Arabidopsis thaliana: one gene and its partners. The protein of the gene in region 1 interacts with the protein of each later gene in a pairwise test. Each region holds a gene or a part of one and is shown in the gene's direction. Other genes may lie near its edges.

Region 1 (7,730 bases):
TTATCAATGTATGATCGATGGAAACCCCCAAAAACAAGCTCAGTTTTTATATTTAGATTCTCTACATAATGTGGACTCATCAGCTATAGTTTGTAATGTATCAATGAGCTACTCAAAATGTCATAAGCTCTACAAAGTATGTTAAGTTTTATGACAATGACTGTATTGATTATGTCTTCTCGAGATGATGACAATATTTATTTAACCTTTGTTCAAATACATTTTTTTAATATTTTATAGGAAAACTAATACAACTTATTACATGTCAAAACTAGTGTAACCAATTACACAAGTAGTCCGATTTGGTATAAGTACAATATGAAAAACTGGTCAAATTAAAACAATTAGTTTTTATTTGACGCCCTCTTCCTAATTACATTTCAATCTGTTAATGTCGATGGAAATAATATGAACGATTTGATTGCGTAGAACTAATTCTATTTGTCAACTATTGAAACAAAACATATAAAACTCAATTTTGGGGGAATATAATTCATCAGAGAAGAATAACACACTTGGGATTATGTATAACATACCTTAGGAGAATGATATCACAAAACACCAATGTAAACTCTACAAAAACCAGTTAAACAAGCAACTTGATGAAGTCTTGGAAAACATAACACGTATGGTCAAATTTAGAAGTTGTTTCTATAGATGAAATCATATATTAAGAAAAGGTATTCTCTCATCTTCTGTTGAAACAACTTGCTAGTTATACAACTAGAAAATTTTACTTATTCTTCACTACCAAGCTATATGATCATATTTTATGGTCTTACATTTTTGTTGGTTATTAATATGATCAAATGGTAAGTGTTTACGTCATTACCTTCGATCATCCAACATTATATAGGAACGAGCCTCACATATAAACCAAACTTAAAAGTACTACTGTACTAAGAAAGAAGACACAATGTCCACATCAACCCAAGAAAACCAATCTGCCCAAGCGGTGAACGAAGAAGTTTTGTTGGAGAATCCCGATTACGGAGTCCAAATCGTCGATAAATCCGAACTGTTGGAGCTAGCCTTGAGTTTCTTAGGGGAAGACGGAGAAATCATGGAAAACCCTGAGTTTCTTGGAGATATCATGGGGGAGAAATCTTCAAGTACTTCAGGTAAGAACAACAATGAAATTGATTGGAAAAAGTTTGCACCGAAGGCTGAAGACTACAAAAATGGTGTAGCCAAGGCCATCGCGGTAGGAACAGGGCATATCATCAAGGGAATCTTCACTTGTAGCAATTCTTACTCTAAGAAGGTCTCATACATATAAGTCCCTCTCATGATGCTTATGAGTGTTAATAGATGATTGTGATTTGAATCGAAATATTTGTTGTAGTAAAGAATCATGAACTTCCAATTCAAACCCAACTTGTGGAACGACTTATGTGTTTTATTTACTAGTATAGATCATCTTATTTTTGTGTTGGATTTTTAAAAACTTTTATATGAACATGGAGATGTAAGACGCACATATTGTAGTATTTTTTATTATTAATATCGTTTTATTTTCTTACAACAAAAACAGATTCACGAGGAAGGAACGATTGCTGAAGAGGATGAGGAAAGAAGTGGTGACATATCACAAATTGATGGAGGTGGCAACAATGAAACTAATAAGAAGAATAAACTCAACAAAAATCTTCAAAGGTATTCATATTTTAATCTCTATCCCACAAAATAGTATATATTATACCAAACAATAAAATCTTGGTTCTTGTTCCTTCTTATAATGAACCAAATCTTGGTTATTTTGTTGGATGTAACATATACATAGAGCGGAGAAGCTGTGGAAGGTGAGCGAGGCTATAGGAATGGCGGCCTTAGAAGGTGGAGATTTGGTGAGCAGTTCGATGATAGCTCCGGTGGTTAAGTCGAAGTTAGGGAAGGCATTGTTATCCACTGCTCCAGGAGAGGTTATCTTGGCATCACTTGATTCTTTTCGTAAGTTACATAGAATAGCTCCATTAATTGTCAATCTATACTCATATTCATTTATTTTGAAGTTTTTGAGATCAAAATTTAAATAAAACAGATAAACACTTTGATGTGGTCAATAGATAATATAATTGGTGCTGCTGAAGCGGCAGAAATACAAACTCATTATGCCACATCCATGGCTGCTACTAGACTTGTGAGTAAGAGGTAAAAAGCTCACTTTGTGATCCTCAATTTTGAGAATGAATTATGTTTCTATAGTAACACACCGGTATTTGAATCAAAAGAATGATTATATCGGTAGAAAATAAAATCGAAGTTGGTAGAATTATTGTATAGCGTGCATACAATCTAATAATTAATTACCAAATAGTTTTGAGGGGTAGCTAATGATTTTTAGAGATAGGTTATCATTTTTATTTGTTAGGATTGTTTAGATGAGTTATATAACATGTTTACATGACCATCGAATTTTACAATTTTATACATTTATTGAGTTGAGTGTAACACATATTCACATTTTTGTGATGACCGCACCAAAGTTTTGGAGAGAAAGCCGGAAAAACCACCGGAATAATACTGGAAACAACGGGCAGCTTAGGCCGAACCGCCTGGAATATTCAAAAAGCTCTCGAGCCAACTTTTTCCATCACCTCAAAAATTGTCAAAAATGCTCCTAGGCAGTAATATGTTATCTATCTTAAAAGCTAAGTTACATTTTCATATGCTGTATTGTATCAAATTACTTAATCTTGGTTTTGGTGTGGCTATGACTCTACGAGAAAAGATTTATACAAAAAGAGTGTGAGAAAATCCAAAACGAGTCTATATATACATCAAATTCGAACAAGAACCGAAATCCAAATTTTGGTATACTTTGACTTTTGTTATTATGAGAAGTTGAGAACCACAGTCAACGTCCGACAAAACCAACAAGTACAACAGTTTAACACTTGACAGTTTACAGTATCTCTCTCTCTACCAAGTACAGAATTTCCCGCTCTAGGGCATATGTCTGATCCAATCCGAAATTGAAAACTCATGAATCACTCCAATCTTGCCAATCCAACAGTCTCCCTCACCGTAACCCTAATCCCCAAACACCCAATTCGTCATCTCACATCTCCAATTCCTAACCGGAACTTTACAAACCCTAAGCTTCTCTTCCCGCTCCGGCTTAATGAGACTCCTTCCTCCTCTCTCGCCGCGAAAAGGGTTTTCATTGTCAGAGCCACCGTCGACGGAGACGGTAAAACCGGTAATTGGGTGAACCGGTTACCAATTCCAGGACTTGGAGCCGAAAACGTCTTCAGATTGATTTCAAGCGCCACCGGAAGTCCCATCGGACAATTCATATCGTCTCCTGTGACATTTCTCCACTCGGTGGATCCCAGAATCAAATTGGTATATTGAATTCTTGATTCTTATCAAATTTCTAATCCAATTTTGTTAAAAAGTTTGAGTCTTTTTTTTTTTGTTAAAGCTTGAATTTTGGTATTTGTATATATGTGTAGGTATGGCTATTAACTCTAGTAGTTCTTCCAGCAAGAGCAAATCTAGTTGTGCGTTTAGGACTTGTTCTATGCACAGCTCTTTTGTCAATCCTTGTTCTCCCAAGACAAGTTTGGATAGTGAGTTCTGTTTCTCTGTCACAACTCTGTTTCTATATGTGATCTATCTGCTCTGCTGAGTTTCCTAACTTTTTCTGTAAAGGATCAATTGGCGAGAGTGTCGCTTCTTTCGGGTATTCTCTTCATAACATTGGGGCTAGGTTCAGATGGTGCACCTCCAATGCTTCAATCAAGAACACCACCATCTTCAATCACAAGCTTGCCTAATCTTCCCATGTCTTTAAGCGGTTATTCGTACATGTTACTGAAGCTTGGTCCTTTGCAATTCACAAGGAAAGGTTTGTCTGTTGGAAGCACAGCCGCATGCTTAACCTTTATTGTAAGTCGGTTTTTCGACTTCCGCGGTTTACCTATTTCCTTTCTTGATTAGATCACTTAATGGAACATTTGGTTTTTGGTCACAGATCTTCCAAAGTGCTAGTATTTGCCTTGCAACAACAACACCAGAGCAACTTGCACTAGCTCTACGTTGGTTCTTGTTCCCATTGACATATATTGGTGTTCCAGTCAGTGAAATTATCCTCACGCTACTGCTTTCACTGAGATTCATTAATTTGGTTTTCGATGAGGTAACGACTGTTCACTTATTCGCTTTAATATTATCAATCAGCCTAGTTATTCCAAGTCCTAAACCACATAATGGTACGTTGTGCATATGTTACATTGTAGGTCCGAAGTGTTTCACTGGGAATTGTATCGCGAAGAGTAAACTGGCAGCAGCTTACTGTTCTGGAGACACTTGATAGTAAGAATCTAAAAGTTTCTTCTCTCTTTCTATATACATCTCATCTTACAAGTGATCGCTTTTTGTAGTTTTCGCGTCATTCATACGCCGCATCTTCAAGAATATATTTCGTCATGCCGAACAAATATCACAGGTCAAATAGATTTCACTTATTATCATCTCATTGATTTGAGAATCAAATAAGAATTCTCTGTTGAAGAAGTTTGTAATTTATGTGCATGCAGGCCATGATTGTTAGAGGCTTCAGAGGAGAGAGCAGTAGCCACAAGATCTACTTCTTCTCTGGCTCTTCGAATAAGTTTGCAGATTTTGCATCAGTTTTGTGTTTAATCGGTGTAATCTCAACCGCACTCTTGTCTGAATACTTTCTTGTCTAATATTGATTCATACTAATCTTTATTCGAGCTAAACTTGGAACATAATTCAGAAGAAAAGATGATCTTGAGGTAGAATCTCTATCATGATCATCCAAATGTTGTATGTGATAAATTTCTTCCCCAATGTGTAAGATTTCGTTGGGGGTCCGGTTAGGGTAACACAATACAACTTTGTTATGCTCGCCGACCAAGAAACTCATCCCATCAGCAAACATATTCCAACTCGGATTAATGGTTTGCACTGTTGAGAACTTGCTCCATGAGATGACTGAATCCATACTAGTTGTCACCCATACATTTAAGTCTTGTGAATGTGTTTCATCATTATAATAACCTAACACTAACAGACAAAGTTTTCTATTTTTGCACGAAGAAATTATACCTAATGAAACAAATACCCTTTAGAAAAAGTGTAAGAAATTGCCACATTTCTTCTTTCAAATTACGTCAAAAATACAATCTATACTTAAAGAGTTAAGAAAGATGATCCCAAGCCAACCAAGGGCGTGATCTCTTCAATCTCACTCGATAAAGTCTGGTACACCCTTGTGTGATTTGATATGGTTTTCGTGTCCAGAAGAGACAAAGGCAGACGAAAACAGTGTCTCACATCTTTTTCTAGAAAATAACGGGTCAATGTCTTCCCAAGCCACTCGTGCTTGCTTCTATAAACAACATCAATCTTGAATTCTACCAAAAACACTCAAACTATATTTCGGCAATATAGTTTCTTGCATTGGAAGCAATCACTTGTTTCCATCATCACAGCTTGAAAAAGATTTGTCATTGGAATTAGTTCATATTTACAGTTCTCATTTAAAACATGTCAATATATGTAGTCCAATGCTTGTTTGATTAATCCCATAGAGCAACATTACATTAATTCAGCAAAAATTAGATTTGTGGAAAATCAAATTTAAAAATGGAAAAACGGACAGGGAAACAAACTAAATTAAACAAAAAGAAAAATAGAATTATGTGTTTAGGTTACAGATGCATCGTTACGAGGAAACGAAGCTCTGACAGAGAAGCCATTTTCTCCATTTTTGTCATCTCTTCTAATTTCTTCTATTTATTCCAGTATTCCATTAACCAGCAAAAAAACTCATAAATTAGATTATTTGTAGATTTTAACCAATTTACAAAAATTTCGAGCAGGAATCGAAGAAAAGGACTATTTGACCCTTTTCTTCTTCCTCCTCCCTCATTTCTACCACCACGATTTCTTCTTTATTTATTAGCCGCCGAAGGGAATTCCTCCGGCGCCATTTTTTATAATTTTTTTGTTTTTATCTTTAGAGATGGGAACCGAAATTATCAGGCCTCAAAATTGTTTGGTTGACCGGATGAGAGATTCTCCGGCGACTTTTTTTAACTCCCGGAGGAATCATTTTCACCGGAAACCGCCTCTCAAACCTGATCAAAGGAGAAGATTCGGTTCCGATGAGTTCAGAACGACGACAAAGAACATTGTTAGGAGAAAAGGAGAGTCTTTTGACTCATTCTCAAACATCAAAGTTCGTAAATATTCACCGGAGGTTTCTGCCGATGATATTTATGCCGGATCTTCGATATTCGCTGTTTCCCCAGCGCCAAGCTCGTTACCTTTGCCGTCTTTCTCGAAGAAGAAAGCGAAAAGCCAGGTTGTTGTCGTTTCCATTGATGACTCGGCCTCTCAAGATCTCCGGAGACTTCTCCGGCTAAAGTTTTGAGACTATCAATTAAACGAAAAAGTTATCGAAATCGTCAGTTATTTAACGGTTAATATATAAAATCTAGGAATCGTCTCCGTTACTGTTTTTTAATCTTATCTTTCCTTTAAATATCTTGTTTAGAAAGGGATGGGTATGAAAAAGATTGAATTAAAAGTATGGGGTCAGATTTAGAAATTAATGTTAAATATTAACTGACTTTTTTGAATTCTTTGTGTAATGTGGAAATTTAAAACTGAAATCCTTTGAGATCCAAATGTGAATTAATTAAAACGATATGGGCTGAAAGAAGTATTCGTTTGAGGCCCAATAAATATATTTAAGTTTAAAGCCTTTTAGGTGTCCACAAACTGCGTAGAAGAATGGGAGGATTTTGATCAGGTTTATAGCTAGATTTTGTGCACAGAAGCAGTTTGTGATGTGGTTTCGATTGGTGTTCCGCATAATGGCGTCACGACGTTCTTAATGCAGATATATAACTATGGATATAATGCTAAATAAAACTTAAAAATGCAAGATTTGGCCTAAAAACACAAATCAAAAATTTATTATGCAAATAACTATGGATATAGTAGCTTATTTCATTATGAAACTTTTGATCTCTAGAATTGTTTCATACCGTACTTTAACTTTACTTTATGTCATTCCATGATAGCTTATTTCATTATGAAACTTTTGATCTCTAGAATTGTTTCATACCGTACTTTAACTTTACTTTATGTCATTCCATGATTATGACATGTATCCAATCAGAAGTACTATTGTCTATTTTAATGTCTATGTTTGAACAATTTAGGAATCTTACAAAGGTTATATAAATGATCACTATAGCAAAATTTTGTGAATTAATAACATTTTCGACTGATGAAGATTGAAGAATTTGATGGGGATTTATAGTCATCGTCTTTGTCTCATTTTACCCAACTCCATTAACATATCTTCAAAACTTAAATCTCTCGAAATTAGTTTCATTCAATTAATCACCTACAATATTATAAAGATCATCTTTGTCTCACAAAATCAGTTCTGAGTTTCATTCAACTTCAGTTCTTGGAAAGTTGGAAGAATAAAAAAAAAATTGAATAAAACATTTTTTTTGTTTTTAGTCGGAAGTTGAATAAAACATATATGATTCAACTCATTTACCTAAAACAAAAGATGAAAACTAAACAAATTTGTCACATTATACCTTAATGTAAAAGAATCAAAATATAACACCAAATTATTTTCTTCTTCTTTTCTATTAAAAAAAAAAAACTTTTCTTGATAGAGTATGACACCAAAATTTTCATATTTCAAACATAAATATAAAAGAATTCAC
Region 2 (7,634 bases), about 15 Mb from region 1:
GATTGCAGAGAAAATAAGGCAGGGACCATGAAATTTGCTTGTGATGAGGTCAAAATGAAATTTGAGTCGAGTTATGAACAGAAGATTACATCAACTGTGGTTGGCTATCCTAATTGCCTCTATGATGATCACTAGTTTCTTGTTTAACTTTATATGAAGATTGGACCTTCTTTATGTGTAATATACTTTGGATAACGCATACCATCAGATATAAAACATCTCGTAGAGTTTACCAAACTGTGTTTGATATAGATTTTGTGTGGATTTCTCCCTTGACTAACAATCTTATAATTTTTTCAATCTTTATTTGCTAATTGACGATAATTTATTAATTTGATTTATTTTGTTCTTCTACATTTCGATTTAAATATTATAACGCTAGTGCTACTGTGCTATATATGGATTAACAAGCTCTTAGAGCATTTACATTGGTGGGCTCTTGATATAATTTTTAGAGATATTAAAATTTAAATTTAATATTTAATTGGTAAAATAGTTAAGATTTGACTCTTATATAAGAGACAAAATACACTTTTAAAAAATTTTTTTTTATTAAAACTCTTAATTTCAAAATAAATTATAAAATTATTGTTAAAAATATTTGCTAAAAGCTCACCAATGTGGTTGCTCTTAGGTTACCGACTAGGATATTGGTTCTCTCGACCAAGTATCTTGATTTTTGTGTGTGGTTTCATGCTCTCCAGTCTCCAATAAGATAATGACTAAATATACAACTTTTTCTTAAAACATAATTAATAAGAAAGAAAGAGTAACGAAAAATAGAAATTAACCTCATACATAATAATTGTGATATACGTATACCCTAGTCATGTCTCGAAAGCTCGTTATTGTAAAAAAAGTAGAAACACTCTCTTTAGACCAGAGTCTTTAGAAGATAAGATACTTTTTTAACGTGAAACCAAAACCCTTCTTTCCATAAACTCGTCTCAAATTTTTTGGTTTATTAGGTTTTGGAAATATCTGAGAGTGCTCTGCTCGTACGTTGATTGTGAACTTGATCTCAACTTAATTTGCTTTCTATGAATGCGATTTCGTGTTAACTGGTCTAGAAATTTCTACGACTCATGTTGCAGAACGCGGTTTAATTTTGATTTGTTTTCTTAGACCTTAGCTAATAAATACCGTGTCTTTGTCTCTTTGTTCTGTTGATCAATTTAGGGACCAATGGAAGATTTGATAAGCCAATTGCCCAATGAGTTGCTGCAAGAGATACTCTTGAATCTTCCCACGAGTGAGTCTGTTAGGACAAGTGTCTTACCGACAAGATGGAGAAATCTCTGGCAAAGTGTTCCTGGTTTGTACCTAATTTCTCGACAGATTCTTAAATTTGTAAACTTGCGGTTAGAATATGTAATTCTGGATGATTTTGATAGTTGTGAGTCTTTCTATCTACCTCACCTTGAGGTTATGCATTTAGGGTTTCGCAGTACACCGAGTGATGTGGTTCTAGAGATGCTTATCTCGTGCTCTCCTGTTCTTCAAGTCTTGAGCATTTGTGATGTTGGAGTTGACTTTTTGAAAGTGCGATCTCAGACGTTAAGGAGCTTGAGTCTATGGACATTTATCTTTAAGGGAGAAAATGATGATGTCTCCTTGGGTGATGATGGAGAATCTGGACTTGTGATTGACACTCCTAGCTTAGAGTTTCTGCGTATCAGAGATTTTCCATTGGAAGACTTCAGAGTGGAAAGTGTTATTTCTTCTATCAAGATGTGTATCGATGTACGGTTTTATGGGGAGATGACTTTTCAAACACGCAAACTTTGCACAAGTTTTTTGCTGAGTTCTCGGAGGTCACAGATCTTAGCATCTCTGGCCATACTCTAGATGCATGTATTTGTTCTTACCAAGTGTTGGTTCTTGACAGGGAACCTATGCTTACACAAAACTGCAACAACTGCCTGAATTCAAGAACTTGACCCGTTTGTACGCTTTTCTCCATACCGACTATTCAGAGATGTTGCCTATATATCTCTCCAGCAGTCCCAACCTAAAATCTATTGACTTGGTAATGATTCCTTCTCTTGGTATTGAGAGTAGCGAGTGACTATATATATTATACATGTCTTATGGTGTTTTCCTTTGTAGGAGCTTCATGGTTATCCAAAGATGGAGGAAATTGCAAGCTCACCAGTGCCAAAATGTCTCCAAACATCCATTGAGAATGTCAAAATAAAAATGACGCCCAAGGCTGACCAAGAGAAAAGCCGAAAAGCTGAAACCGAGGTTGCTAACTACATCTTAGAGAATGCAACACTTCTGAAGCTCACTCTATGGTTAGATGATGAAGAAGAAGACGAGTCTAGCAGCGTCCTTGAGAAAATTCTCACCTTTCAAAATTACTCTTTTGTAGAGGTGAAGATAGGTCGAGAAGCATCGAAATTTCGCCTAGGTTATACATTTGATGAAGCTAAGCACTTTAGTCGTCGTTTTCTTTAAATCTCTTATGATCAATCTAATTAGCCCTTTTGGTCGTGGTCAGGATTTAAAGAAAGTTGTTTCTATCACTTGAAAATTCTCCACTAACTTGATGAGAATATGTGTGATGGAATCGATCTAGCGAACATATACTAATCAAAAGGACATGCCTAAAATGGGACCCTCTTTGCACAAAAGAAGTTTCAAGATATTATTATACCCACAAAACCAAATCTTCTTTAATCATGTCTAAATCATTTTAGGCACTCTTAACAAAACAATAATGTTATCATCCAATTTGTCTACACTTTGGTATTGATTCGTTACAAGTGAATGTTCTAGACCACGTTTGTTGATCTATTATGTAGTTTTGTATTCATCCTAGCTACATTTATATATATCCACTTATTTCTTAACTACGGTATGCATTATACATGTTTGTATTAATGTCGCCGATAAAAGTTTCGGACCCATAGTGATGAATAATCATTCTCGATTATTATTGTTAAATAAAACACTACAAGGAATAAGATAGATCAAAAACGAAAGCTCCTTTGAAAACAATCTCAAAGAACAAGAAAATATGAGAAGACTCTTTCTCTTCTCTCTCCTCTTTTTATTCTTTTACTCATCCTCCTCCTCAAGATCTTCATCAGAATCTCACATCTTCATCTACGGAGGATGTTCACCGGAAAAATACACACCAAACACACCTTTTGAGTCAAACCGCGACACTTTCCTCTCCTCTGTCGTCACTTCCTCCTCTGACGCGTCCTTCAACAGCTTTGCCGTCGGCAACGACTCCTCCTCCTCCTCATCCTCTTCCGCCGTCTTCGGCCTCTATCAATGCCGTGACGATCTCCGATCATCAGACTGCTCAAAATGCATCCAAACCTCAGTCGATCAAATCACTCTCATTTGTCCTTACTCTTACGGCGCTTCTCTCCAGCTCGAAGGCTGCTTCTTACGTTACGAAACAAACGATTTTCTAGGGAAACCAGACACAAGTCTTAGGTACAAGAAGTGTAGTTCCAAGAGCGTTGAGAATGACTACGATTTCTTTAAGCGGAGAGACGATGTGTTGTCGGATCTTGAGTCGACTCAACTCGGTTACAAAGTTAGCCGGTCCGGTTTAGTCGAAGGTTATGCTCAGTGTGTTGGTGACTTGAGTCCTAGTGACTGTACGGCTTGTCTTGCCGAGTCTGTCGGAAAATTAAAGAATCTTTGTGGCTCGGCGGTTGCAGCTGAGGTTTACTTGGCTCAGTGCTATGCTCGTTATTGGGGCTCTGGTTACTATGACTTCTCTTCAGGTCAGTCCATAAATTAAAATCTTTATTTCATTTATTAGCTATTGCTCTAATTTACGTAAGTTCTTTAATTATATTCGTGAATCATGCTTAGTGCCATGATAATATAATTGAAAATTGTAGTAATGAACTGTATAGAAATGTGTGAGAATTTGACAAAATTTAAATTTCCGCCGCTTATAATTGAGAAAATCACAAGTCTAGTCGCTCCTTGGTAGCACGAGAAAGTTGAAGAAATCATAAAATTTTCGTTGCTTTTTTTTTTTTGTAATTTCCACTGGAAAGACACCATTAAGTATTGAATAAAATAGAATTAATCTTTTGAATCATTCGTTGGAAAATTCGAGTATCATGATTATAATATCATTGGTCAGAAAAGAATGTTTTTGCAATATATTATTCTTTTCTTTATAGGCATAGCCACCCATGTCCCCATTTTCAACTTTATTTTATATATTCTTTATAGCTTGATCAATATCACATAGTCCAAAAGTCATTGCATCTTAGAAAATCTAATTCTTAGCTTGATACTATATTGTCCTTATCTTATGTACTTTAATTTGTCACATACAATATTAAGATCTTTTTAAATTTGATCTAATTTTCGTTATTAAGATCCAACGAATGGAGATCACGTGGGGAAATCAATCGCGATCATCGTAGGAGTCATTGCTGGATTCGCAATTCTTGTTGTTCTCCTCTCCCTTTGTAGAAACTCCATGCGTAAGTCTATACTTACTTGCCTAATCTTCACATGATTAAGATTTAAGATCAAATCACTCATTTTTAGTATATATTTAGAAATAAGTATCATGATCTCATAATTTTTCTTATCTGATTTGCAGATTGATATAATGAAAGGCATGATTCGGGATACAAGATTCTAGGGACCTGTTTTTTTTTTTTTGAACTCTCTTGTATTCCACTATTCCTTTTATTTTGTAGGAGGAACACATCCGTTACCGTTCCTTGCTGAAATTTTTGGTTTATCAAAAGGAAAACTATTAGTGACTGATGATATAATGATTTTTAGCTTTGAGGTATTAAATATTTGTATAGTGTGACCCGTATTGTCTGCCTTAAAAAGATGCTAACTTTATTCCATTAACTAGTTTTAGACTAAAATCCACTTTCCTTAGCAGGCGCAATTATTCGATACTCATACTTAGATAAGTAGATTATCATTTCCGGAGAACAACGTGATTCGATCGATTGAGTATCATTAAACTTTAAAAGGTTCTGCCGGCAAAAAAAAAAAAGAAGAAGGCTTATAAGACTTGAGAGGTTCCATTCAATCAATTCTTTGGTTTTCTACGATCCGGATCTACCCGGTTCTCATGGGTTTCACCACATATTCCATTGAGCCATTAAATTATTATGGACTGGGCCTCGGCCTACTAAGCTTCTAAGCCGTGTAACATATCTAAAAGACTAAAACATTTTCCATGCAACCATTCCTTTTTTTTTGTATTTTTTTAAAAATTAATTCAAGAAATTCTTTTACCAAAAACATATAAACCCATGACAAAAATAGTAATTTTCACTAATGTTACAACATATTACTCCAACAAAATTATTACTTTATATATTATTCTATTAAAATATAACTGATCATTCATGGATTTTGTTTTCTTTTCTTTTTGACTCCAAATCCTGAAAATTTCTTTTATTTATATATATATATATATATATATATATATATATATATATATCTTATCCATCGTAAATTCGTAATAATGGGATTATGATTATATATCACTATACCAGTATATAAAAATTTAGGTTTAATCCAGTATATATAGTAGTCTCTCAGCTCTTGAAGATAATAAACTTATGATGAAGAAGAACAACTTAAGGTTGTGTTCTTGACACATAGACGTATACGTTTACTCACTTTGATACAGAGCGTTGCACTAATTTACAACCTGAAATGTATAACGTAATTAATGAAGTTAGTCTCATATGCATGGGCCATCAATAATCATATAAACAAAAGCTTACACATACTCTCACACGTGCCTTATCTCTCTCTCCATCTGTTAGATTCCTCGCCACCATCTTCATCTACATTTCTACGACAAGTTCCATTCTTCGTTTGCTGTTAAATACACAACAACATCAATAATTATTTACTTAAAACGCATTTCAAGAAAATTACTAAACACTACAACAATCTTATAATAACATTTACTAAAAATGTCCACGTTTGTAAAAGTCACCGACTTAATCACTATCATGTTCTTTCTAGCCATTGCTGCCGTCATAACCGCCTCAAACACAGCCGAGTTGGATGTACTTGAAATGGCTAGAACTGCTGTGGTTGAAGCCAAGACTAGTTTTGGGTCAATGGCTGTGACTGAGGCAACTAGTGAAGTTGCTGGTAGTTATTATAAATTGGGGTTAAGTGAATGCGAGAAGCTCTACGATGAGAGTGAAGCTAGGCTATCGAAACTGGTCGTAGATCATGAGAATTTCACCGTTGAAGATGTTAGAACGTGGCTAAGTGGCGTGCTTGCGAATCATCACACTTGTTTAGACGGTTTAATTCAGCAACGTCAAGGTCATAAGCCTTTGGTCCATAGCAACGTCACGTTCGTGCTCCATGAAGCTTTGGCTTTCTACAAAAAGTCTAGAGGTCATATGAAAAAGAGTAAGAAAACTTACACATACATTCATGTATACATAATTAAATAAAATGATACAATAAATCGCTCTGTTTTATCACTAAATAACGATTGTAGACTCCAAGATAAGTGTAAATTTTTGTTTGAGATATCATGGTTTATCTATTATGGATCTCTAATAACATTTGGTAGGGCTGCATGGACCAGCGAGACAGGGCCATGGACCAACGAGACCAAAACATAGACCAACGAGACCAAATCATGGACCAGGAAGATCACACCATGGACCATCAAGACCAAACCAAAACGGTGGAATGTTAGTGTCATGGAATCCAACAAGTTCAAGGGCAGATTTCGTGGTGGCTCGGGACGGTTCGGCGACTCATCGGACGATAAACCAAGCATTAGCCGCCGTTTCAAGAATGGGTAAAAGTCGGTTGAATAGAGTGATAATATACATAAAAGCTGGTGTTTATAACGAAAAAATCGAAATAGATAGACACATGAAAAACATCATGCTAGTTGGTGATGGTATGGACCGTACAATTGTCACCAATAACCGAAACGTCCCGGACGGTTCCACGACTTATGGATCAGCGACATTCGGTATAAAATATTTAAAATTCTACTATTAATCTTCATACATAGATCATGCATGTTGAATAATTACTGCGCTTACTCGTTATATAGGAGTGTCCGGGGATGGATTTTGGGCACGGGACATAACGTTCGAGAATACTGCAGGACCACATAAACATCAAGCTGTGGCGTTGAGAGTGAGCTCAGACTTGTCTTTATTCTATCGGTGTAGTTTCAAAGGATATCAAGATACTCTTTTCACGCACTCACTTCGTCAATTCTACCGCGATTGTCATATTTATGGTATTATTTTTAATCTATGTACCATTTGTTTAAACTCGTATGGAAGCTAGTCATGATCATACATGGATTAAGAATTTTTGGGAAATTTTGGAATAGGTACGATTGATTTCATATTTGGAGATGCGGCAGCTGTTTTTCAGAACTGTGATATATTTGTGAGGCGGCCTATGGATCATCAAGGCAACATGATCACAGCTCAAGGAAGAGACGACCCACATACAAATTCAGGTAATGTTTTGTTTGGCCATCTTTTGACTATCAATCAGGGGTCATCAACTATACCGAAATTATTAGAACCAACCGATTCTAATCAGATTATATTTTTAAAAAAATTGTTCATATGAAAATATCCAAAAACTAATGCATGCGAAAGGGAGGAAAA
Region 3 (8,238 bases), on another chromosome or scaffold:
AAAAAAAAAAAAAAAACTGCAACCATTTTAAACAGTCACTTTTTTCTTACATGTTAGACGTATATGATCTACACGTTTACATATGAGATTAACGATGTATTTGTTTTGGTTAGAGCATTTGCTTCTATGCGTGTTGGCTGTTTCAATTCAATAACATAGAATTGTTATTAATTTTCGGTTTCTAAGAGAAGGGTTTCCGATTTTCATATGAAATATCAAATAAATTGAAAAGGAGCCAGAGATTGATTCCTAACCATATTACTTAACTCGAAAGGTTTAATTAGTGGATTGTTAGTGACATAATTATCAATTATTTTGTTGAGTAATTAAACATGTGCCTTCTCTTTGCTTTAACATGGACGGACCAATCTTTTTGCTCTTTATCTCTCTCTCTTTTACGTCGAATTTTTCATAAGTCGTAACCACCAACCTCACTAATTCATTAGTCATCCATCACATCTATCCCCATTAATAGCAATGTTCGTTATTTTTATTTTCCAACAAAATAAAATAAATTGGTCAGTCTTTATCTTTCTTACCAAACTAGATATATATTGGTGGATAAAGTTTGAAAAACAATGGTTAAAGAAGTTTCGTTTCTAGTTGTCAAAGTAGAAAACCTACGTTCAATTTTGCAAGAAAAAATAGATGAGTTTTCTTCTTACTTAAGAGAAATAAATCAATATAAGATTTTTCTGCTTACATAAGAGAAGTAAAATCATTGTAAGAGACTTTAAAAGTTATATATGTTCAAATTTGTTGCATGAAATCTATATTTAAGGAAAAATTTTTTTGACTAATTGAAAAGAAAAACTCGGCTTGGATATAACTATTGATCATGGTAAATTCTAAGCGATCCTCGTTGTTAATCAAGCAATTCTCTTACTGTTATAACATTAAGAATAAGCTATAAGCATCGGGATCCAAAATTTCAGACACAGCTAACAAATTGCTTAGTTCACGCCTAAATATTCGATTAGCCACGAGATATAACAACATTTTTCTTTTTAAAACACGAGATTTAACAATATATGTTAATTTTAATTTATAACCTTTATTACATTAGAATCTCGAGTTAAGATTGTTGAATCAGATCGGAGGAATCTAAGATGTCATAAAGCGCACCACATGCATCAGCTCATTTGTCTTATTCCAAAACAAGTAAGTATACACAGGCATATTCATATGTTGTATATTAATGTATATATGTAGGATGTAACAAATAAACAAGTATCGTTATAGTGAAATTCATCTTCCAAAAGTTACTAGATTCTTGTTTAGCAAAAACAAAAAAGTTACTAGATTCTTGGGTTGGTTACGAAAAAAATAAAATTGGGTCACTTTTGTTGCATCATTTCATAAAGCAGGCTACTTTACATATGTTTTCAGATCTCTATTCCATTTAATATATTTGAAATTTTCAGAAATTAATCAATATCCGATATACAGTATAACCTCTATTTGGGACTGCAAAATTTTATTAATTTAGAGAGGTATTAATTTATTGATAAATTAATATTTATTAATTTATAGAGAGATTTTCTTAATTTGGTAACTTTTTAAAAAAATTTATAAGATTTTTTTCATTATAAAAAATATATTTCTAGAACCAGTTACAAATAAAACATAATAATAATGTCTAGAAAACATTATTAAACAAATAACAAAAGTTTTGGTATAGTAAAATATGAAAACTATAATCAAACAAATAACAAATATGAATTTAAACAAAAAATTATTATAAATATATTTTAAAGAAATTTTTTACATATAATATATATATATAGTTGATATATTTATACAATTATTAATTTATGATATCGATGAGACCATATATTTACATAGAACTTTCCAAAAAATTATTATCTTATTAATTTATCGATTTGTGTCATTTTTTACACTAGTCCCAACTCGGGACCGGAAGAATTTATTAATTTATAAAGGTTATTAATTTATAGAGGTTATACTGTAGTAAGAAGTCCGTTCTATAAGAAAAGTAACAACCCAAACTTCCAAAAATCTGTACAAAATGAAGTTGAATTACAATTATCACCTGGTGTATAGTTAGAGCTTTTATTGTTTTAATATCAAACTGAAAGAAAAAAAAAATTGTTTCAGACAACTAAATTATTGGCTAGGGCCAATTAGGCTGTAAATTTACATATCAACTTTGATTAACTTTTCTTTTTGTAAACTTGTTTAAAACCGTTTTTTTCCATTGATTGATTAATCGAGTAATTAATTTATTTTATTTCATCTAAAACATAAATAATGAACCGTTGTGCAACCTAATTTTTTTTGTGATCGAGCGGGTTGACTAGATGAGTTAGGTTGAATTTAGAAATATTTACTTTTACATGTAAGCTAACGGTATATAAATTCTGAATTGAAACGTAGGATCAGTTTTAAATATGCGACTAAACTCCGTTGAATATCAAATATAGGATTAACTGAGGGTCATACTATAATTTCACGTGAAATACAATTCTAACAATCGTTACAATGTTTTTTAAAAGAGCTTTTATTTCACAAGATGCAAATTGCAATACTATATAAATATAATAAACTGAAGATAAGCGCACTATCCTTCTTATCATTATGATGGTGTGATTTCTACTCTTTACGTTCCATTTTTTTGGTTCACCCAACTACCAAATTTGGGATCCTCCAAATTCTATGCCAAAGACATAATGTTTTTTTTTTCTTTGTGTTTAATAGACATATTGTTAAGATTAAAAACCTATTATAGTGGGCAATTCAATTTTTCCCACCTTTGCCTTTGTCTGAAGAAAGTGTCTTCTTTTAGGCCACTTTTTCATTTTTTTTTTTTTTTGGACTGACATAGTTGGCAATGTGTTGGAAAGAGACAATCTAAGATGTCATATTTTTTTCTTCTTGGGTCCAAAATGTTTTATGAAACCCATGTTGCCTCACAAAGAATGTTTTTGGCAAACACTATCTATTTTTACAATAGACTTCCATAAGATAAACCTATTGCCAAACCTACTCCCATTACAAAACTAACGAGTATAAATTTAAATAACTTATTGAATTATTTTTGGAATTAATCATATTGTCACTTTTATTGTAGAAACCCTATGTCTCACCATAAAACAAAGGCAGGCAAAGTAAAGTATTATCTCTAAATTATAAATTAATAATTATTCGTCGCCTACTTGGTCCCATTTCTCAATTCTTCATCTCTATATCTATCCCCACATTTCATTGCATTGATTCTCTTACAAGCACTTTCTCCCTCAGTCTTTATCTCCCTCTTTCTCTCTTCTCCATGTCTAACATGTTTAGCAGAATTGCCATGACCAACTCTATCGTTCTTCTTCTATTTTCCTTGACTTTCTTAGGTATCGTTTTTGAATAATTGCTTATTTCTGTCTACCAACAAACAAAATTCATTATCTCAATTTCAGTTTGTCATTACACTTTAATTATTTAAATTTCTCTTACATTTTTTTCACAGAACATGGATTGTTGTTTCAAAGGGTCTCCTCTCTTGGCATCAACTATGGTCAAGTCGGCGACAATCTTCCTCCACCGGACAAAGTTCTACAACTCTTGAGTTCACTCCATATCAATAAGACAAGAATCTATGACACAAACCCTCGAGTGTTAACCTCATTTGCCAATTCCAATATCGAGCTCTTTGTCACCGTCGAAAATGAAATGCTTCCCAGCTTAGTAGACCCTCAACAAGCTCTCCAATGGGTCACTACCCGTATCAAACCCTACTTTCCGGCCACCAAGATCGGTGGTATCGCCGTCGGCAACGAACTATACACTGACGATGACTCAAGCCTTATAGGGTTTGTTACATACATCCCCTCATTCCTATAAATTGTTATCCTTTTCAAATCTTGGTCCATTACAAATATGCCCTACTAACCAAATCATGGTAGTCATGTGGGTATCATCCTGAGATCCTCTAGTTCAAAAAAAGAAGAAAGTATTCAACCTCGTTATTGCTATGATTCGCAGGTATCTTATGCCTGCAATGATGAGCATTCATGGGGCTTTGGTCCAAACCGGACTAGACAAGTACATTCAAGTATCGACTCCGAACTCACTATCCGTCCTTCAAGAATCTTACCCTCCATCCGCCGGATGTTTTAGGCCGGAAGTAGCTGGCGTAATGACACAGCTACTAGGTTTCTTGCGTAACACGAATTCCCCCTTCTGGATCAACGCTTACCCTTACTTCGCTTACAAGGATTCCCCAACAAAGATCCCATTAGACTACGTCCTCTTCAACCCTAACCCTGGAATGGTTGACCCCTATACCAAGTACCGCTATGACAACATGCTCTACGCTCAAGTAGACGCTGTGATCTTTGCCATGGCGAGGCTTGGCTTCAAAGACATCGAAGTTGGGGTCTCGGAGACTGGATGGCCGTCTAAAGGCGATGGAGATGAGGTTGGAGCCACTGTGGCCAACGCAGCCGTTTATAACAAAAATATTCTAAGGAGACAACTTCAAAATGAAGGAACGCCATTGAGACCAAACTTGAGTTTTGATGTTTATCTATTTGCTCTTTTCAATGAAGACCTTAAACCAGGACCAACCTCTGAGAGGAATTATGGATTGTATCAGCCTGATGAGACCATGACTTACAATGTAGGTTTATTATCGTCGTCATCATTAACATCAACATCAACTACTTCTTCAACTTCTATTATTTCCCTCACTTCCTCTGCCTCCACGGTATGTATCAACATTTAACTTTACTTGCTCTGTTTCTACTAGATCTCTTACTTCCATATTTCTTTCTTTTTAATCTTTATATAGCACATTAAATCCCTTGAAAAAAGCTTTGATTGAGAAACATTTTTAAAACAAATTCTGACCTGTTGTCTAAAAAAGAAGAGAATTGTGACGTTTCTTTCTTCTAATTGTGACGTTTTATACTTGAAAAGTTCGGCTTTTCTAGAACATATTCTTACCAAACATATTTATTTTAACATATTTCTTGATTAATAGCGATAAAGTATACATTTTTTTTGGAGCGATATGATTAGTACATGATATTTATGATTATCCTCACCATCTGATTTTTAGATACATATTAGTTAATTAAAAATTTGCGGTCTTAATTATTGCTTATTATGATATTTTAATTTAAACAGGCTTTAAAGAAGGGAAAGCAACGGTTGATGTATTGGACATGCGTTTATTTGTTGGCCATTCACATGCTAATTAGAAGATCGTACTAGAAGCAAAAACAAATTGAGAGAGCTTCTAAGTGTAAATAGAGAGTCCACTAATGCGGTCCAATTTTTCAACGAGAAGAATTAAATTATTCTCGAAAGTGTCTCAGATGATTCTTTAAAAGGGGAAAAAAACACTCAGAAAAATTGAGAAGGGAATGCAGTACTGCAAAGCGAATCCTATGTATAAAAAACTGACGATTCATATTATAGAACTTTATTTGTATTTGTCTTACTAACGTGTTAATTACTTTCGTTGTCTAAATAAAAAGTGACTAAAATTAATCATCAACTGATAAGGTATACAATAATGATTCGTATACAATAATGATTCATGAATCATATAAGAACGATCGTGTTTATTGTTTAAATCCAAAGGATACAATTTCATTTGAGGCATTTTAGTAACCACATTCATTGCATAATTTCATTTAAAATGTTTGATTTCACATTATGTACTACATATGAATCATATTTCAGAAAGCTAAAGAAATTACTCTAGATATAAAGAAGACCCCATATAGTACTACTTTTACGAGAAGCATAGAATATAATAATAATTATTACTAAGCAGAAAATATTGTCATTTTCAACGCTCCAAATATTACTTTAAAGTACATGATATATAATGTTATCATCAGATATCGTTTAACAGAAACAGAAAAAAAGAAAGATGATATCATATATTTTATATAGAAATTTATTGATTGGTCACACCGAAGGTGAAGGCTCTTTTATCTTTTACCTTTTATCTTTTGGACGTGGAATCCATAAACCTTAGACATACGATACCTTCCTTTTCCATCTCACCGTCAACATTCGATATTTTAATATATTGTCTGCTCTTACACATGCATGCATTATATCTGCATGTATATGTGGTATGGCTTCGTACGTGCACACACATGACACTACTCATACATGCATACATGACACATCTTACATGTATGAATATGTGTATATGTCATATGTGTGGTGGATACTCATTAATTCACCAATTGATGTAAAAGAGGAATGCTCCATTTTTCTAACGGGAGAGAAAGAAGAAGTTAAAAATTATCAAAACAAAACTAAAGTTTATTTATTAGGAGGAAGCATATAAATTGATATGGACGGTTCCAACTTTATTCCACGACCATGTTTTAAGTCGTCAGCATTTTGACAATAGTCATTGGCCGTCCCTTTTCAAAGGAGCTTTCTCTCTTTTTATAAATTTTCTATTTTTCTACTTTTTTCTCTGGATTCAATTGTTACTTATTTGTTTAATACAACATGTTTACACTATAATAAATATCTTCATCGCTTTTCTTACACCTTTCTGGTTTTGTATAATCCATCACGGTTTAACTTAAAAATGCCACAAGCTATATTGAGCTTCAATCTGGAAATCTCCAATAACAATCTTTGTATATAGCTCCAGTAAATTTAGCGACGAAAGATTACACTGTTCATATATATATAGAATGCTAAATAAATGATAGTATTGTTCATATCTAAAGTAATACTCACTCGATTACATTTTTAATGTTATACTCATTAGAATTTAGGAGTAAGTCGATCTTCTTCAAAATTCAGGGAACAAAAAAATACGAGGATTTTGTAAAATTATGGTTTTCTTCTTGCATTTAAGTTGTAAAATTCATAAAACTCAAACTCTCATCCGATAACAATGCGCTTGATATAACAACGGCTTTTTGATAAGTAAGTTTAACATTCATTAAAAATAATTAGGAGTATTCGAACATCAATTTTATTTACAGTATCATAAAAAAAAGTTTCTTAAAAAGTAACGTTTTGGATGTTACATTTAAATAACGCCACCATTTGGATCTGAATTTGTTTTGTTACTTTTGTTTGGATTTAGAGCTCATTATGAAATCGAAGTTTTTTCTTTTATGTACATAGAGTTTTAATGGCTAATACTAGAATCATTCTACTTGACACCATATAACTCAGTTGACTCTTTTCTACAGATGAAAATTAACTTAACGTTCCCCCTCCCCCCAATCAATAATTATTTAGACCACACCATCATATGAAAAAGAGAGTGCTCAGTTTATTTTGTCTCATTTTTCTTCATACTGAATCACTGATATTGTGATTACTTACTAAGTCACGCCAGATATGTGCATTTGGTAACGTCCAATTCAAAAGAATTTCATTAACTATAATTAATATATCAAAAGAGAAAAGTGAGAATTTTTGTTGATGTATACATGATTGAATGAATTATTCGTAAGAGAGACAAGTTAAGGTCATGTTAGTTATACAAAGATGTCAATCAAACTCAACTCCATGTTAGCACATGGATACCTTTGGCTCAGATATAATATCAATTATCATGACTTTATAATGCAAGAATAAAAATCGTTAGATTTCTAATTCATATATATATATATATAACACTGAATCTTCTACTTGCAACAAAGCTAAATCTAGTAAATGTGGATGATAACTGAAACACGTTTTGATTTTCTAGTCCGGCAATTGTGTTTTTATCTCCCTCTTTATCGGGCATCAAGCCAAAAATGGCGACAATTGTCTCTCCTTTTTTTCGGGGCTCGAGGAATGAGTTGAAATTGTTGATTATCACTATCCACATTTATCCAAAGTTATACTTAAGCATATAAAAATGAGAAAATTGCTTTATATTTTGGTAAAGTAGGACGTAACTCGAAGATCCTTTTAAATGGAAAAAAATAATAGAATCTAAAACTTTTTTTTTATTGCTTCGTAAAATAAAATAGTAGAATCTAGAATAAAATTTATTTTCCTATAGAATATCAATTTAAAGATGTGACTGATAATTTTTCCCTTTTTTTTAGAGTACATAATTAAGTGGACAGAAAAATATGTAGGACCAAAGTTTTAGATTATTTTCCAGTAACTTTAATATAGAGTGAAAGTTTCTGCTGAAAATAAAAAAATTGTTTGATAACCAAATGTTTTACTAAATGGGCTTGGCTCTGTATGAAAGAAGAAAGCCCAAGAAGCTAAAGCATCAAAAAGCTCAATATG
Region 4 (7,646 bases), on another chromosome or scaffold:
ACGCTGGTGAGGCAGAGGTGGAGGACGAAGGGTCGTTTTGCGGCGGAGAAGGAGACGGGAATAGTTTGCCGGCGAAGAAGATGAAGATGAGTAGTTGTTGCTGCAATTGTGGGTCTAACGGAGTAACGAGAGTTCTGTTTCTGCCGTGTAGGCATCTCTGTTGCTGCATGGATTGCGAGGAAGGGCTTCTTCTTTGTCCGATCTGTAATACCCCCAAGAAAAGCAGAATCGAGGCCCTCATTTTCTAGGGAAAATCCTTTCTTTTCTCTCACCGGAAAAATGCTTGCCTTTGTGTTCCGGTGAACGGAGAGTTTTTACTCCGGGTAGATGACGTGGCAGGGTAATTTGGTAAAAATAGGGGAGGAAAGGAAAGTGAGAATAGGGAAAGGTTAGAAATAGTAAAAGGTTATCTCAAGAAGTAAATTCTGATTAGGGTTTTCATTTTCCCTTTTTGTTTTTTGGTTCTTTTTCCATTCAATGGAGAAAAAAAAGGAACCCAGCTGGATTTGATGAACATAATTCATATTTTCCTTCTATCTAATGAATTTTCGGATATAAAGTTTGAATGCCATTCTTTCTATTTCAATGATAATTAACTTCTTAGGATTTTTAAACACATTAGTATTAAATATCTTAATATACATTTTCCTAATGATTATATGTATAAGATTTTCCTATATTAAACACTTCCTAATAAGCAAAAAACTAGAAACTTTTGACCGAAAGAATAATAATTCTAAACTAATATGAAATCCAATTTAAACATATCTTTTAAAAAATTTCATTTATAAAAAAATCAATTAAATCAAATTTAAACATATGTCTTTTAATTTACATAGAAAGCAAAACAAAAAAAGTTATATTCTTTTGAACAAAAAAAAGAAAGCAATGAAAAAGTAAAAAAAAAGAAAGGAAGCATTATATATTAATGGGTTTGTTTTGATGTAGGAAGATGGTGAAAAGAGGTGGTAGTAGAGGCCGTAGACACGCGTATTGGAGGAAGCTGTAAGTATTATTGGGTTGCTCAACAATCAATATAGTACAGTGACATGAGAGCACAATAGTAAGTAATAATTCCACATTAAAAAAATAGAAATTGAAAGAGAATCAGAGTTTGGCCTGCCATAGGATTTGAGTTCTCGCACTTTCCTAAACAGAAACATGTTTCATTGAACACTTGGGCCTTTCTTCTTCCTTCATTAAGGATTCTCGATCTCTGTTTCGACAGATCTGTGCTACCTAGGTTTTCTAGATACTCCCTAATACCTATAAATAAACAATAAGTATAACCTTATTATGTAATTAGATCGTACTACTATCAATAAACAAGATTGTAGAAAATAGTGAAAAAGGCAACGCATAAAGATTAATTAAATCTTATTTAAGTTTCATTTGGGACAATTTAAGATTATTGTCTTGTTCATAGGATTTATTTCATCTATTAGTATTACAAACTTTTTTACGCAAACATTATTATCTCTATGTATAGAATGATTTAAACTTTTAACGTAAACACAAATAAACAGTCAGTCCTATGTGCTATGGATGAGGTGATTAGCATTGTAGGGTGTTTCGTGTCATATAGCTCTACTAGTAGAGATTTTGTGTGTCAGTGTGTGTTTATTTACGGCTTTGAGTCTTCAAGACCCAATTAGCCTTAAGACCTTAGTGATTTTAGACTCTTTGTTGAAAAGCTAGAAATTGCAAACCCAAACCGCCTAATGTTGCTATAGGTTTTGATTTCCGAAGTGGGTAATTAATTATGTGGATTACGTATAAACACATGGCCCGGCCCATTTTACCCCCCAAGTGCTCGGCCCAAATTGAAAGTGGGACTCACTGGATTGCCAACTAATTTTATTTAACACGACGTGAAGTTTGGAACTAATACGTCAGGTATTAAAAGTACATAAACATCATCATTACTCAATTTGCTAATGGACGAATAGAGACGGAATCAACAAAGTAACAAACGACTTCAATATTTTTTTTATATGTTACTATGATTCGACAAAGGATTTTTTTTTTGTTATGAACTGAAGATTATTGGATTTTTAATCACAAGATGTCAATATCAAAATTCAATACCATGTCTCGATTAGGGATATCAATATCATGATATTTTAACAACTTTAACTATGTAATTTAATTCGATTATCGTTTTTGTTTTAACCTTCGTTTGATTTGTAGATGGTAGAGGTATTTAGTTGTTGAACTCTTCTTTATACACATGTTGTTTGTTTTGCTTCTTAAAAGGATAATAATTTTTAAACTTATTACATGTGCACCACTGGTCGCATTCGTAGTTTTCCATATTTTATGCGAAAGAAATGAGGATATCTTGGGAAGATACAAATTATTGGGATTGTTTTGCAATAACTCCAAAATGTTATGTTTAAGAGTTTTTTGCTTACGTATTTCATATCAAGCCACGTAGATGCATTTGTAATCTCATAAAACATTTCGATTATTATTAACTTACTGCACCATATTAAAAAACAAATTTCGATATCGAGATTGTAAATTGGGCAATTAGGAATTAGGAATTGAGGTAGGTAAAGTTTATAAGCAGATGAGGAAATAATAGCAAGGAAGAGAAAGAAAGTGGATGCGTCGTGGATTCCATATTTATGTGCTTTACTTTTCCTTTTGGTAGGCGAAAATTTTGACATTTTCCAACAAACATCCTCATGTATTTCACATATTGGCCTGACCAACTATTATGCATATTTTATACATTTGATGGATTAGGCTATAACATGGTTTTTGGAGTTTACTTTTATACGTTCGATCATAGGATAAACATACGTCTTTTATTAAAAGCTCGATCTAACTATGGCATGTTTTAAAAGTTCACATCTTTTGTCTCATTGCTAATTAACGTAAGAATATTAGGCAAGTCGGCTTTTTATACGCAGTTGTCGAATCCAACTTTTACCTAAACCCTTGAAAAATCGAAATTAAGCATTTTTATTTAATAGTAAAACTCAACAATTTTTAAGGTGGTATAGTGCAATAATTTAAAGATTTATCTTAATTTTTTCACTGTGATTTCAATTTTGAAATATAGTAGATAAAAAAAAAAAACAGAAATATTAATTCGTTAACAGTATTATTATTATTCTTATTTATATAAAAATTCCTTTTTTTCAAAAATCGTATATCCTTTAAACAGAGCATCGCACGTACTCTCTTCTATCTCAGTTTCGAGACTCATTGCCTCGCCGAGAGAGAAGGAGACGCCATGGAAAGGCTTCTTCAACCATCTTCTTCTTCTTCCTCAATTTCTCCTTCCAAATTCCCTTCACGGACTTCTCCTTTCCTTCCCCGTCTCCGCTCATCGGGTCTGAGCTTTGTCTCGACTCACCGGCCCGAGTCACGCCGAGTCAGCTCAATTTCCTGCAACAGTTCCCAGATTCCGTCACTGTATACGCCTATAGGATCTAACACAACTAACAATTCCTTCAATGGGTCTCCCAAATCGGATGAATCGAAACCTAATCCCGGATTTCTCACACGGATCGCGACGTCGGCTTCTGAGCAGCGAAAGGTATTCAATTTCACGTTTTGTTCAGTGGTAATTAGAAATCTCTGGATGCTTACGTCGATGCTTACTAAATGTTTCAATTTCCACATTTTCGTATAGTTTTGGGGACGAGCTTGGCTTACATTAGATTTGGGGTTTATGGGTTTTAATGGGGTTTGATTTTATTCAGGAAACATATGAAAAGTTTGTATATAGTTTGCTCGAGAAGAAGATTCCAAGAATTACAAAAAGTTCCAATTTTGTAGGGTTACATATGTTACTATCCATCAGTCTCTAGAATCATGGAATCATGTTCTCTCTGTTTTAGGATTCGGGAGCTAATTCGATATTGTTGACATTGAACTTGCTTTTTCATGTTAGATATTGATAGTCCCTAATTTCAAGCTCCACACTTGTTGGAACAATAGAACTCAAATCAATCTAGTTTCTTTTTTGTTTGATTAGTCTGTGTGTTGGAATTGTGCTTGTTCGCTGTCCTCTTATGTAGTCTCATGGATGTTTACCAGATCAATATATATCTGTGTTTCTTTGCAGACGTTATCTACTGGAACCGTTATACTAATCTCTGCAGTAGCTGTGCTTTTGCTTAACCCGCTTCTTGCACCACCTGCTTTCGCTAGCTTTCAAACTGCAGCTAAATCCGGTTGGCTAACAAGTGCGTGGACCGGTTTCCTTGCTGGTTGCTTGCACACGCTCTCAGGACCTGATCACCTCGCTGCTTTAGCTCCGCTTTCGATCGGACGCAGCAAAATGGAAAGTGCTGCTGTTGGAGCTCTCTGGGGATGTGGGCATGATGCTGGTCAAGTCATCTTTGGTTTACTGTTTCTGCTACTTAAAGACCGGCTTCACATTGAAGTATTACAAACTTGGGGTACAAGAATTGTGGGATTGACTCTTGTTATTATCGGTGCTATGGGAATCAAGGAAGCTTCTGAGATTCCAGAACCTTGTGTCGCTTTAGAAACCGACATCAGCATGGTATCAACAGAGAAAGAAGCCTTACCACTGCCCAAAAAGAAGAAGATCGGGTTTGCTACATTTGCAACTGGAGTGGTTCACGGGTTGCAACCGGATGCTCTGATGATTGTTTTGCCTGCATTAGCTCTCCCATCACGGTTAGCAGGGTCTGCGTTTTTGATAATGTTTCTGGTTGGGACAGTTATAGCGATGGGAAGTTACACAGCGTTTATTGGGTCTTGCAGTGAGGCTTTGAAAGAGAAAGTTCCAAGGATCACAGAGAAACTAACTTGGGTTTCGTCACTTGTGGCTATTGGTCTTGGATTGGGAATTGTCATCAGCCCTTTCTTTGGTTTTAGCCTCTACTGAGAAAGTAAAAGCTTCTTCAGGTAAATGAGACAAGTTGAAATCTTTGTAGTTCTTATAGAAGAAAGAGAGGTTTTTTTGGGTCCATATCACTCGTATTATTGTCACCTGTACGAACAAAATCTCGTAATCTTGCTTCAGAAACTCCTCTCGGAGAAAACCATTTGGTGATTCTTTTTATTTTCCTTATTTTTAAGAGAAGTTTGGTTTTGGTTCTGAATTATCGATCAACTGCATGTAACCATACTTTGTAATATTATCAAATTTTAACTAAAAAGTCATTCTTGTTTATATCATTTGAACAGTACTTGTCACAAATACAAACCCCAAAATGTCAAAACCAAGTTTATTTTCTAATGTCAGGATGTCAAAGCAGAGTTCAAATCCAAATTGTCAGATTATTCACACCAAATCTAAAGACTCTCGACACCCCACACTTGATACAACGACGTTATACACAAATGTGGCCACTGTTACAACACATATTGACAACTATTGTAAATTCCCTAATACCCACACATAAGAATTTATGGATTTTCTTGTCTTTTTCGTTTCATACTTTGCTATTCCCTTTCGTCCAGAACATGCAGACTAAAAATCACGTCTTTGTCGACAGCTCTTACGGGATTACATTCGTTAATATATGAGAAATATATAAGAATATGTCACAATCTTTCAAGGAAGAAGGAGCTTTCATCAAGTAACACCACGGATTATAAATCTTCAATGTATAATGTATTATTCTGATAAACGAGAGACACAACAACACACAAGGTTCTTTTGGTCTTTAAACAGATACTATTATAACATAGCACAGAAGATCCACATGATGAAGATTGTATTATCGCAACTTTGATCTCTTCCCATTTTCTTTTCTCTGCTAATTAACAACCACAGAAAGGCCAATCAAGAATTCTTTCACTCGTTTTAGATGCTTGGTCTCACGTTCAGACGGCTTGCCAGCTTCTGTCCCAAAGACTTATCAGCCTGTTTCACACATTTTTAACCAATCAGTCAAAAATGTTTAAAACTTGACAACTTTTCAACTGCTGAGACTTGAAGAACGAGACAATGACAGTAACAGAGATCAAGATTTCAGACCTGAGACCAGTAAGAGATCCAGATACTGCGGATTTCATGCGTGATGCGTGGGTCGGATAGGGCATCAATCCATCTCTGGATGAATCGTTCTTGCCTGAAGTTGAAAACATACCGTAAAACGTTAAGAACACAGATGTTCCTTTTATGCATTAAGCATCATTACAAAAATAAAACAATTAGTACCTCTCTGGTGTAAAGGTACGGTATCTCTCTCCAGGCTCCTTGAAGTTGTTCTCTTTCTCAATAATGCACTGAAAAAAAAACAGATTTCGAAACTTTTAGATCATATGTTCTTAAGTGAACCAATCCATGGGAAACAGAAACAGAGAGGAAAACAGAGTTGATTACTGACCCTCTCACGTTTTCCAGAACAGACAGCAGGCGGAGTTGGATACTTCTCAGCATGACGAACCTGGTCATACCTCGACGGGAAGTAGTTAACCTGTAACAACAGCTTCTTGTAAGACTATGGTATTCTAGCTTCAAGTTCGATATAAAGATATTGATAGTGTACTATTAAGTACCTCCTCGTCCCTGTGCATGAAATTCATGAATCCCTCATGGTGGTTGTTGTGGTGAGCACATTTTGGAGCATTGACTGGCAGCTGAAGGTAGTTTGGTCCAAGACGGTGTCTCTGAGTATCGGCATAGGAGAAGACACGGGTTTGAAGCAGCTTATCATCTGAGTAATGTATCCCTGGGACAATAATTGCAGGACAGAAAGCAAGTTGCTCATTCTCTGCAAAGAAGTTGTCAATGTTCTTGTTCAACACCATACGTCCAACAGGTTGAAGAGGCAAGATATCCTCAGGCCAGGTCTTGGTCACATCGAGCGGGTCAAAGTCGAACTTGTCTTCATCAGCAGGATCAATGATTTGGATAAAGAGCTTCCATTCAGGGTAGTTTCCAGCAGCTATAGAGTCATACAAGTCTTGAGTCGCATGACTGTGGTTGGTTCCTCCAACACGAATTGCATCTTCTTCCAAAAGAGACTTGACTCCACAAGTTGGTTTCCAATGGAACTTCACGTAGTGAGCTTTGCCAGCTTTGTTGATCAACATGTATGTATTGACACCTGAACCATCCATGTGCCTGTAATCTTGTGGGATACCGATATCATCGAAGAGGAAAGTGAACATGTTCAAACTTTCAGGGTGGTGGGAGAAGAAGTCAAGGATTCTCCAGTTCTCTTGGATGTGAGATTTTGGGTTCGGCTTAAGAGCGTGGACCATGTCAGGGAACTTCATCCCATCGCGGATGAAGAAAACAGGAAAGTTGTTTCCAACAAGATCAAAGTTCCCCTGCATACAAAGAATGATCATTTGCTTAGTATATAAGTAATTGCTAGCATTCTTAAATGTTACAAACTACTAACTGACCTCTCTGGTGTAGAACTTGACTGCAAAACCACGAGGGTCTCTCAAGGTCTCGGGACTTCCACGCTCATGGATAACGGTGGAGAACCGGACAATGACAGGAGTCTGAACACCGGGAGCTCGGAGAAAGTCAGCACAAGTGAGGTTAGAGATATCATGAGTGACCTCAAAGAAACCTTTAGCACTGGCTCCTCTGGCATGAACCACACGCTCTGGAATCCGTTCCCTGTCGAAATTGGCAAGCTTCTCAACGAGATGGTAATCCTCAAGAAGGATAGGACCTGCCCAAAAAAACAATC

What was found.
Region 2: the proteins of ABCI12 (region 1) and PDLP8 interact in a protein complementation assay, tested with the Arabidopsis thaliana proteins (one large-scale study listed by BioGRID).
Region 3: the proteins of ABCI12 (region 1) and AT1G30080 interact in a protein complementation assay, tested with the Arabidopsis thaliana proteins (one large-scale study listed by BioGRID).
Region 4: the proteins of ABCI12 (region 1) and AT4G35080 interact in a protein complementation assay, tested with the Arabidopsis thaliana proteins (one large-scale study listed by BioGRID).

The regions. Positions count from the first base shown.
Region 1 is NC_003074.8:7,598,976-7,606,705, reverse strand, and holds ABCI12 (cobalt ion transmembrane transporter), read left to right. Parts: upstream 1-2,806; 5' UTR 2,807-2,985; coding exon 2,986-3,348; intron 3,349-3,458; coding exon 3,459-3,575; intron 3,576-3,657; coding exon 3,658-3,894; intron 3,895-3,979; coding exon 3,980-4,144; intron 4,145-4,244; coding exon 4,245-4,320; intron 4,321-4,388; coding exon 4,389-4,453; intron 4,454-4,544; coding exon 4,545-4,697; 3' UTR 4,698-4,884; downstream 4,885-7,730. Other genes in the region: AT3G21590 (Senescence/dehydration-associated protein-like protein), read left to right, coding at 917-1,121, 1,191-1,264, 1,535-1,656, 1,784-1,950, 2,067-2,155; AT3G21570 (proline-rich nuclear receptor coactivator), read left to right, coding at 5,999-6,409.
Region 2 is NC_003074.8:22,439,013-22,446,646, forward strand, and holds PDLP8 (plasmodesmata-located protein 8), read left to right. Parts: upstream 1-2,758; 5' UTR 2,759-3,022; coding exon 3,023-3,749; coding exon of another isoform or gene 3,750-3,766; exon of another isoform or gene 3,767-4,361; coding exon 4,362-4,504; 3' UTR 4,505-4,591; coding exon of another isoform or gene 4,592-4,596; 3' UTR 4,597-4,862; downstream 4,863-7,634. Other genes in the region: AT3G60700 (hypothetical protein (DUF1163)), read left to right, coding at 1-135; AT3G60710 (F-box family protein), read left to right, coding at 1,186-1,361, 1,449-1,743, 1,889-2,029, 2,110-2,460; AT3G60730 (Plant invertase/pectin methylesterase inhibitor superfamily), read left to right, coding at 5,943-6,396, 6,563-6,976, 7,061-7,252, 7,349-7,480. UniProt on the Arabidopsis thaliana protein: Modulates cell-to-cell trafficking.
Region 3 is NC_003070.9:10,548,219-10,556,456, reverse strand, and holds AT1G30080 (Glycosyl hydrolase superfamily protein), read left to right. Parts: upstream 1-3,161; 5' UTR 3,162-3,289; coding exon 3,290-3,362; intron 3,363-3,478; coding exon 3,479-3,821; intron 3,822-3,993; coding exon 3,994-4,717; coding exon of another isoform or gene 4,718-4,735; exon of another isoform or gene 4,736-5,139; coding exon 5,140-5,226; 3' UTR 5,227-5,602; downstream 5,603-8,238.
Region 4 is NC_003075.7:16,695,140-16,702,785, forward strand, and holds AT4G35080 (high-affinity nickel-transport family protein), read left to right. Parts: upstream 1-3,194; 5' UTR 3,195-3,244; coding exon 3,245-3,550; intron 3,551-3,716; coding exon 3,717-3,788; intron 3,789-4,081; coding exon 4,082-4,873; 3' UTR 4,874-5,182; downstream 5,183-7,646. Other genes in the region: AT4G35070 (SBP (S-ribonuclease binding protein) family protein), read left to right, coding at 1-248; CAT2 (catalase 2), read right to left, coding at 5,798-5,857, 5,972-6,065, 6,155-6,222, 6,324-6,413, 6,496-7,272, 7,351-7,628. UniProt on the Arabidopsis thaliana protein: Together with CGF2, essential protein which supports female gametogenesis and embryogenesis, probably by securing local energy supply.